Linked DNA regions of Macaca mulatta. The main gene of each other region encodes a partner of the protein of the gene in region 2 in a complex. Links are inferred from orthologs where the notes say so. Each region holds a gene or a part of one and is shown on either strand. Other genes may lie near its edges.

Region 1 (4,011 bases), on a different chromosome or scaffold from region 2:
GTGCTTATCTCTTCTCTCAATCTAGAGCAACCTTCTCAACATTTTCAACACTGTCAAAAACAAGTAATAACAACAAAAAAGGAAACTGCATAAGAAGATTAGCAACAATTACCATTTTTCAGTACAAATCAAAACAGCAACAAAATTCAGGCTCACTGTTTAAAAATAAAGATTAAAAACCTCTTTGGGTGTAATTTCTACGACAGTCCAGCAACATCAATTTAATACCTGTTACATCTCAACGTTTGTTTAAAATTATTTCGCTCTGGGAACCTGAAATTTCAGGATGAATTAGCAAATCTGGTGAAAAAGCAAATGGCCATTTTTACTTTTAGTGTTTTTGTTTCTGTTTCACATAGGCGTTCTGTCTGAGCAGATAGCTAAGAGCAAAAGAAGTAGGGTCAGGCACAGGTAGGGTGACTCAAGTGAGTTGGCCCAGTTCCTGGGCTGAGAAAACTAGGAAGAATGGGGAATAAATGGGGCTTGCTTCATAAATGTGAGAGGGCTAGGAAAAAAACAAATTCACCAAGATAGTTTAGCTGTCACATGACAAGTGGGAGTCTGGAGAGAGAGGGAGAGACCGCAGAGCCGTGCAAAGTGGATACTGGAGACATACAGGTAGGAACAAAGGATACAAACAAAAACCTAGATACTTAAAAAAATAAATAAATATTTTGGTCATCCCTAGCCCACGAGGTCAAGGTCTGCCCAAAAGGCTCTCGACCAATAACGCTCACCCTCCTGCGCCCAGTGATGAGGACCTGGGACACATCGCAGTCTGTGTCTTCGTTGCAAAATTGCCATCTCTGCCCAGTGGTCCAGTGACGTCAAGGAAGAGGCCGAGGCTCATTCTCCTCTCTCTAATCACTCCCTCCCCAGTTAGTCATGGAATCGAAGAAAACAGCTTGGGGGTGCGAGGAGGGTCTTCTCCAGCTGTAATGCCAACTAAGGTGCTTTGGGTAGCAAAGCTGGGGGTGAGGAGGCCCAGGAGGGAGAGAAAGGCCACGCCAAAGCCGGGCTCCTGGACGGAGGCCGCTCAGAGTCTCTGCGGCTTCCGCTCGGTCCGCACGGACTGCAGCACTACCTCCTTGGAAGGGGCCGCGCACTTGTACTCCATCTTGGCCCTGGCGGCGCCCTGCTTCTTGCGCAGGTGGCAGAGGAGCGCCAAAAGCGCCACCACCAGGCACAGGCTCGCGATGGAAATGCCTATGAGCACGCCCGAATGCACGCGCCCCACGGCCGGGGGACTCGAGGTGCAGCCGGGCGTCGGGCCTCGGGGGGGCTCCCCAGAGCCGTCGTCACCACCATCCACCTCGGCGGAGTCACAGTCTTTGCCAATCAGGCGGACACGGGCCGAGTCGGGCCCGCAGATGCACTCGAAGGTACCGGGGAGATTGAGGCACACCCCAGAGCAGTAGCCGCCGTTTTCACACTCGTCGATGTCCGAGCACATGAAACCGTCGTCCAGGATGTAGCCGTCAGGGCACTCACAGTTACCCCGGGTGTTGGGGTCGCAGTCGGCTGGACAGGCAGTCTGGTTGCAAAACATCTGACACCTGTGCGGCTCGTGGGGAATGGGCGCGAAGCCCTCCGCGCAGACGCAGAGGTAGCTTGTTTGGTTCAAGGGCTGGCACTGGTACTCGCAGTTGGCTTTGAAGCACGGGTCCACGGGCTCCACACACTCGCCGTCCACCAGGTCGTAGCCAGGTTTGCAGTGGCACTCGAAGCCACCCTGTTTGTTGACACAGCGCTGTGGGCACGGACTGGGCACCAGCAAGCAGTCATCCACGTCCTCGCACCGGTGTTGGTCGGCCGCCAGCCGGTAGCCCGTCTCGCACATGCACGAGTAGGAGTCCGGCTTGTCCGGGTTGGGAACGCAGAAGTGCTCACAGAGGTTGTTGCAGGAGTGCGTGCAGGAGCGGCCGTCTGCCTGCAGGGCGGCGCCGGCTGGGCACAGGCAGCGGGGAGCCCCTGCGATCGTATTGCACGCGTGCTCGCAGCCGCCGTTCTCCACGCTGCAGTCCCAAGCGCCCGGCGCCTCCCTAGCCCAGTGCCCCTGGACCGCTTTGGGCGGTGCGGCGCACATCAGCTCTAAGCCGAGGGGCGCCACCGCGGCGGAGCTGCCCACCGGCAGCGCCTGGAAGTCCGCTCCGCGGGCCGCAAACGGGGTGCGGTAGGTGATGGAGACGGCAGCAGTCGCGGCGCCGGGCTTCACAGCCAGGGGCCTGCAGGTAGCTGGGAAGTAGAACTCGCAGAGGAAGCCATCGGCCTTCACATCGCACTGCTGCTCCTCCCAGACCGGCTCGCCGGGCGCAGTGGCCCCAGCAGCGGAGACAGCGACGCACAACGGGCCGCAGGGGGGAGCCCCATTGAGGTCGAGCCGCGCCCACCTGCTGTAGCTGGTGTTGCTGTCTCGCGTAACCCACTCGAAACCGCGCAGGGGCCCGAGGGGCTTGGGGTCGCCGCAGCCGGGTGGCAGCTGAAGGCCGATCCAGAGGCGCCGGCTAACGCCGCGGTCGCCGCTCAGTAGCAAGGAAATGACATCGGCAGCCACTGAGGAGCGCACTGTCATTAGGTGGCCCCGCAGTCTATTGCAGATCTGACTGGCATCGAGGAAAGTCGCGGGGCCCGGGTAGAGCGCGAAGCAGTCGTGCTCCACGCACTGGCTGCCACCGGGCTGCGGTTCTACGGGTGCGGGGAACCCCGGGCCGGCCAGGGTCAGCACGCCAAGGAGCAGGACCCCGAGCATGTTACCCAGGCGCACAGCGTGCAGGCGCCGAGGAAAGCGCTGGCACTGAGACTGGGCCGTGCCGGAGCAGAGGAGCGCAGGACGCGGATGACGACAGCCGCTCCTGTCCATCAGCCCAGACACTTCTAGCCGCGGCGCGCAGCCCCTGCGAGGCAGCCTCTGACATGAGGATCGGCCGGGGCACGAGTTTATAAGTGCGCGGCCCTCCCTCCCTGGACGTTCGGGAAAAGGAAGGAAGTGCCTAGTGGGAAGGGCTGATGCCGCATACTCGGATTGCTGGGTTCTCTGGCCGCCCTGCGCCCGCCCTCGCGCATGGGATCACCTCGCGGGGATGAGTAAACTCTGCCCTGGCGCAGGGAAGTTCTCGGGCGGGGCCGGTAGGGGCAGGCGCCAGGGAAGGCCAGCACCCCTGTAGAGACACGACTGTCCCCGCCCCCACCACTCGGGCCCCCATGCGTGCAACCTCTTTCATCTCTTGGTTCTCCTTTCTTTCTTTTCATATATGTTACGGCCACTTCCAAGGAAAGCCTGGATTGCAGAGCTCTGGGAACCGGAGACTTCAGAGAAGAGGGCTTTGAATGGAGCGTGGGGGAGATGGTGCACAGGACCTGCAGGACGCTGGGAGGGGTGATCGGCACCAAGGGAACTTTGGCAGGAACTGCCTAGGACGTGGACTTCCCCAAAGACAGGATCGCAAGGAGAAACAGCTGGATCCCATCCCCGGCCTGGGTGCCTGGCTCAGGAAACCAGCGGAGCGTTTGGCCTCACAGGACAGTGGGTGTGGCTGGGGTGAAGGGGCAGGGCGGGGAAGACTGGCCTAACACCAGCGCCCTCTGCCCTATGGCTGGCCAGGGACCCGCAAGTCCCTGGGCACGCACGAGTCAACGCCAGACTCCATTTCGTCGGGTGGGGAAGCCGCGGGGACACCGTCAGGGCGCCGAGGTCCGGACCCCGCTCAGAGGCCGTGGCAGGTGGATTGCTGCGGCGCCGGGTAGGAGCAGGCGCGTGGGAGCAAGTCATCCTGGCCAGTTTCGGTCCAGCTTCCGAGGGACGTGCTTCTCTCACCTCAACAGAGTGGCTGGCAGTGCCCCCGGGGGAGGCGCTGCGGGATCCCAGCGGATCCCACCCGGGTCGGCTAAGGAGGTTTCCATTTCGTCCAGAGGCCGAATTGATACCGAGGTGCATAGAAATATCACTTGCTCGGCAAAGGGCACTGAAGAGCCACGGTCCTGTGGATGGGCAGGGTGGGGAGGGCTGGAGGA
Region 2 (3,500 bases):
GGTTTATTATGTGCCAGACACTTACGCTGTATATTTTGTTTAATCCTCTCAACAAGCCTGCAAGAGTGGCATTAGTAACCCCTTTAAAGGCAGACAGACAGAAGCCCAGAGAGGTTAAGTAACCTGAGGTCACACAGGCAAAAAGCAGCAAGACTGGGGTTCACATCCCTGTCTGTTCCGGTCCATGTGTGGTCTCACTCACTCTGCTGCCTCCTTACCCCTCACCCACCAGGCCAGGATCAAGTCACTGTAGCGATGACTCCACGCTCCAGTGTGAATCTGTCACTTCCATCGGAAGAGTGTGTCCCTGATCGGGGGCGGCAGTACCAGGGGCACCTGGCAGTGACCACACATGGGCTCCCCTGCCTAGCCTGGGCCAGCGCGCAGGCCAAGGCCCTGAGCAAGCACCAGGACTTCGACTCGGCCGTGCAGCTGGTGGAGAACTTCTGCCGCAACCCAGACGGGGATGAGGAGGGCGTGTGGTGCTATGTGGCCGGGAAGCCTGGTGACTTTGAGTACTGCGACCTCAACTATTGTGGTGAGCTGCCTGGGTAGGGGCCTGAGATGCAGGGACGAATCCTGGTGGGAATAACAACAGTTGCTTCTGCTTACCGAACACTTACCGCGTTGAGTGTGCTCATAACAGCCTTACAGTAACCAGGTAGGGGTAAGGTCCTGCGCCCATTTCATAGATAAGTACATTGAGGCCCCAGGAGGTTATTGCCTAGTAGCCCAACTGTGCATGCACTCTTAACCTCTGCACCAAACGGCCTCCAAGGCCCACAGGGGAATTGGGGGGATCTAGGGGATGCGTGAGGAATGGCCCGGCCGAGTCCCAGCCGGTGCCCGGGTCCCAACAGAGGAGGCCGTGGATGAGGAAACAGGAGATGGGCTGGGTGAGGACCCAGACAGGGCCATCGAAGGGCGTACCGCCACCAGTGAGTACCAGACTTTCTTCGATCCGAGGACCTTCGGCTTGGGAGAAGCAGGTGAGGTAGTGGGCATCTGAGGGACGCGGGGCTGTGGGGCTGGTGGCCAGCACTTGCCCCTCACCGCTTGGCTTGCTCTGCAGACTGTGGGCTGCGACCTCTGTTTGAGAAGAAGTCGCTGGAGGACAAAACTGAAGGAGAACTCCTGGAATCCTACATTGACGGGCGCATTGTGGAGGGCTGGGATGCAGAGATCGGCATGTCACCTTGGTGTGTCCCGGAGCCCTGTGCTACCATTCACTCCTGGGGGCAGGTGTGCTGCTGGCCCCCCACCCTCCGGCCCTGCCCACAGGCCCGGGCTTTATAGATGACAACAGCTGAGCATCCAGGATCCCACCGACCCTGCACAGCAGCCACATGAGATGGGTTATTTCCTTCCTTTTTTTTTTTTTTTTTTTTTTTAAGGTGGAGTCTTGCTCTGTCACCTAGGCTGGAGTGCAGTGCCACAATCTCGGCTCACTGCAACTTCTGCCTTCCAGGTTCAAATGATTCTCTTGCCTCAGCCTCCTGAGTAGCTGAATTTACAGACATGCGCCACCACACCCAGCTAATTTTTGTTATTTTAAGTAGAAACAGGATTTTACCATGTTGGCCAGGCTGGTCTTGAACTCCTGACCTCAAGTGATCCACCTGCCTCAGCCTCCCAAAGTGTTGGGATTACAGGCGTGAGCCACCGCACCCGGCCCATGGGTGCTTTACTTCTAAGCAGATGGTAAAGCTGAGGCTCACAGAGCTGGTGGCTCACCTCCGCACACTGCTAATGGGTTTGAATCCAGTTCTTCTGATTCCAGAGCTGGGCTATGCTGTGTGAACTCTGGACTGGAAGGACCTAGTAAGGGAGTACAAAAAGCAGGAGGCAGGTCAGGTGCAGTGGCTCACCCCTGTAATCCCAGCACTTTGGGAGGCCAAGAAGGGAAGATCACTTGAGGTCAGGAGTTCAAAGCCAGTCTGGGCAAAATGGTAAAACCCTGTCTCTACTAAAAATGCAAAAATTAGCCAGGTATAGCAGCATATCCCTGTAGTCCCAGCTACTAAGGAGGCTGAGGTGGGAGGATTGCTTGAGCCCAGGAGGTTGAGGCTTCAGTAAGCTGTGACTGTACCATTGCACTCCAGCCTGGGTGACAAGAGTGAAACCCTGTCTCAAAAAAAAAAAAAAAAAAAGTGTGAGGCAACCCCTCAGCATCACATGGAGGCTCAAGGCCCAAGGGCAGCCAGCCCAAGCTTGGATCTGGGCCCTGGAGGCAGCTCTGCCCCGCTGGGTTCTTAGACCTGGGACTTGTTACTTCTAGGGCTGGTGTACAGGCAGCCCCCTCACCCTCAGCTCCTAATGCTTCCTGCTCCCCCTCCTAGGCAGGTGATGCTTTTCCGGAAGAGTCCCCAGGAGCTGCTGTGTGGGGCCAGCCTCATCAGTGACCGCTGGGTCCTCACCGCCGCCCACTGTCTCCTGTACCCGCCCTGGGACAAGAACTTCACTGAGAATGACCTTCTGGTGCGCATTGGCAAGCACTCCCGCACCAGGTACAGAACTGGTGGCCTGTGGGTGTCTGGCAGGGGTCTGAGTCCTCCAGAGCGACCATGACGGGCCCTGGTGGCTCCGGGACAATGGGATGTTCTGTATACCCCCAGAATATGACATCCCGGCAGTCTCTGCTGGAAAGTCCATTTGGTCATGTCCTGACTGAGGCTTGGAGCTAGAGGGGGGAAACCTGTCTGTCTCCTGGGCCCTCCAACACCAGGATATGGCCCATGTGGGAGTCTCCGAAAAGAGAGTCTGTCTGGACCAGGGTGTGCAGCCTGTGCCCTTGTCCCTGTCCTCCTGACTGTCTGACTCCAAAGCCCTGCACGGCTTTAGGCCCAGGAAGAAATGGCCAGGGGGCTGCCACGGCAGGAGCCAGCCCTATCCCCTCCCTGGTGGCCTGCAGGACACCCTGTCTCCCAGACCCCAAGGGCAGGCAGTTTCCTGCCCCTTGCTGGGTGAACCTGCAGCTTCTCCATTTCTCTCTTGGGGTCTCTGCAGGTATGAGCGAAACATTGAAAAGATATCCATGCTGGAAAAGATCTACATCCACCCCAGGTACAACTGGCGGGAGAACCTGGACCGGGACATTGCCCTGATGAAGCTGAAGAAGCCCATTACCTTCAGCGACTACATCCACCCGGTGTGCCTGCCCGACAGGGAGACGGCAGCCAGGTGGGCAACCAGACGCTTATCAGCTGAGGGGCAGAAGCCGAGTTCTGGGCCTGGCTCTGATACCAGGCAGCCTTGCAGAGCCCCTTTCCCTTTTCCAGGCCTCAGTTTCTTGGAGTGAACCCAAAAGTTCTTTTCAGCACTGGCGTTTTATTTTTTATTTATGTTAAAGAAACATAATAAATAATTTATTGACGGAGTTCTACTCTTGTCTCCCAGGCTGGAGTGTAGTCGTGCGATCTGGGCTCACTGCAACCCCTCCTCCCAGGTTCAAGCGACTCTCCTGCCTCAGCCTCCTGAGTAGCTGGGATTATAGGCTAATT

Evidence for each region. Proteins that work in one complex are often made in the same cells at the same time.
Region 1: the proteins of F2 (region 2) and THBD are in contact, whole or in part, in a crystal structure (PDB 1DX5), measured with the Homo sapiens proteins. The link is inferred for Macaca mulatta from reciprocal best matches to the Homo sapiens genes F2 and THBD. Residues at the interface, in NP_000497.1 of Homo sapiens: Phe382, Ser385, Pro386, Gln387, Leu423, Arg425, Thr432, Arg433, Tyr434, Arg436, Asn437, Glu439, Lys440, Ile441, Met443, Lys470; in NP_000352.1 of Homo sapiens: Ser424, Cys425, Glu426, Cys427, Tyr431, Ile432, Leu433, Asp434, Asp435, Thr440, Asp441, Ile442, Asp443, Glu446, Asn447, Gly449, Phe450, Asp479.

The regions. Positions count from the first base shown.
Region 1 is NC_133415.1:60,998,216-61,002,226, reverse strand, and holds the start of THBD (thrombomodulin precursor), read right to left. Parts: upstream 2,801-4,011; 5' UTR 2,750-2,800; coding exon 1,037-2,749; 3' UTR 1-1,036. UniProt on the Homo sapiens protein: Endothelial cell receptor that plays a critical role in regulating several physiological processes including hemostasis, coagulation, fibrinolysis, inflammation, and angiogenesis.
Region 2 is NC_133419.1:18,870,576-18,874,075, reverse strand, and holds part of F2 (prothrombin precursor), read left to right. Parts: intron 1-232; coding exon 233-538; intron 539-860; coding exon 861-989; intron 990-1,072; coding exon 1,073-1,199; intron 1,200-2,339; coding exon 2,340-2,507; intron 2,508-3,006; coding exon 3,007-3,180; intron 3,181-3,500. UniProt on the Homo sapiens protein: Thrombin, which cleaves bonds after Arg and Lys, converts fibrinogen to fibrin and activates factors V, VII, VIII, XIII, and, in complex with thrombomodulin, protein C. Functions in blood homeostasis, inflammation and wound healing.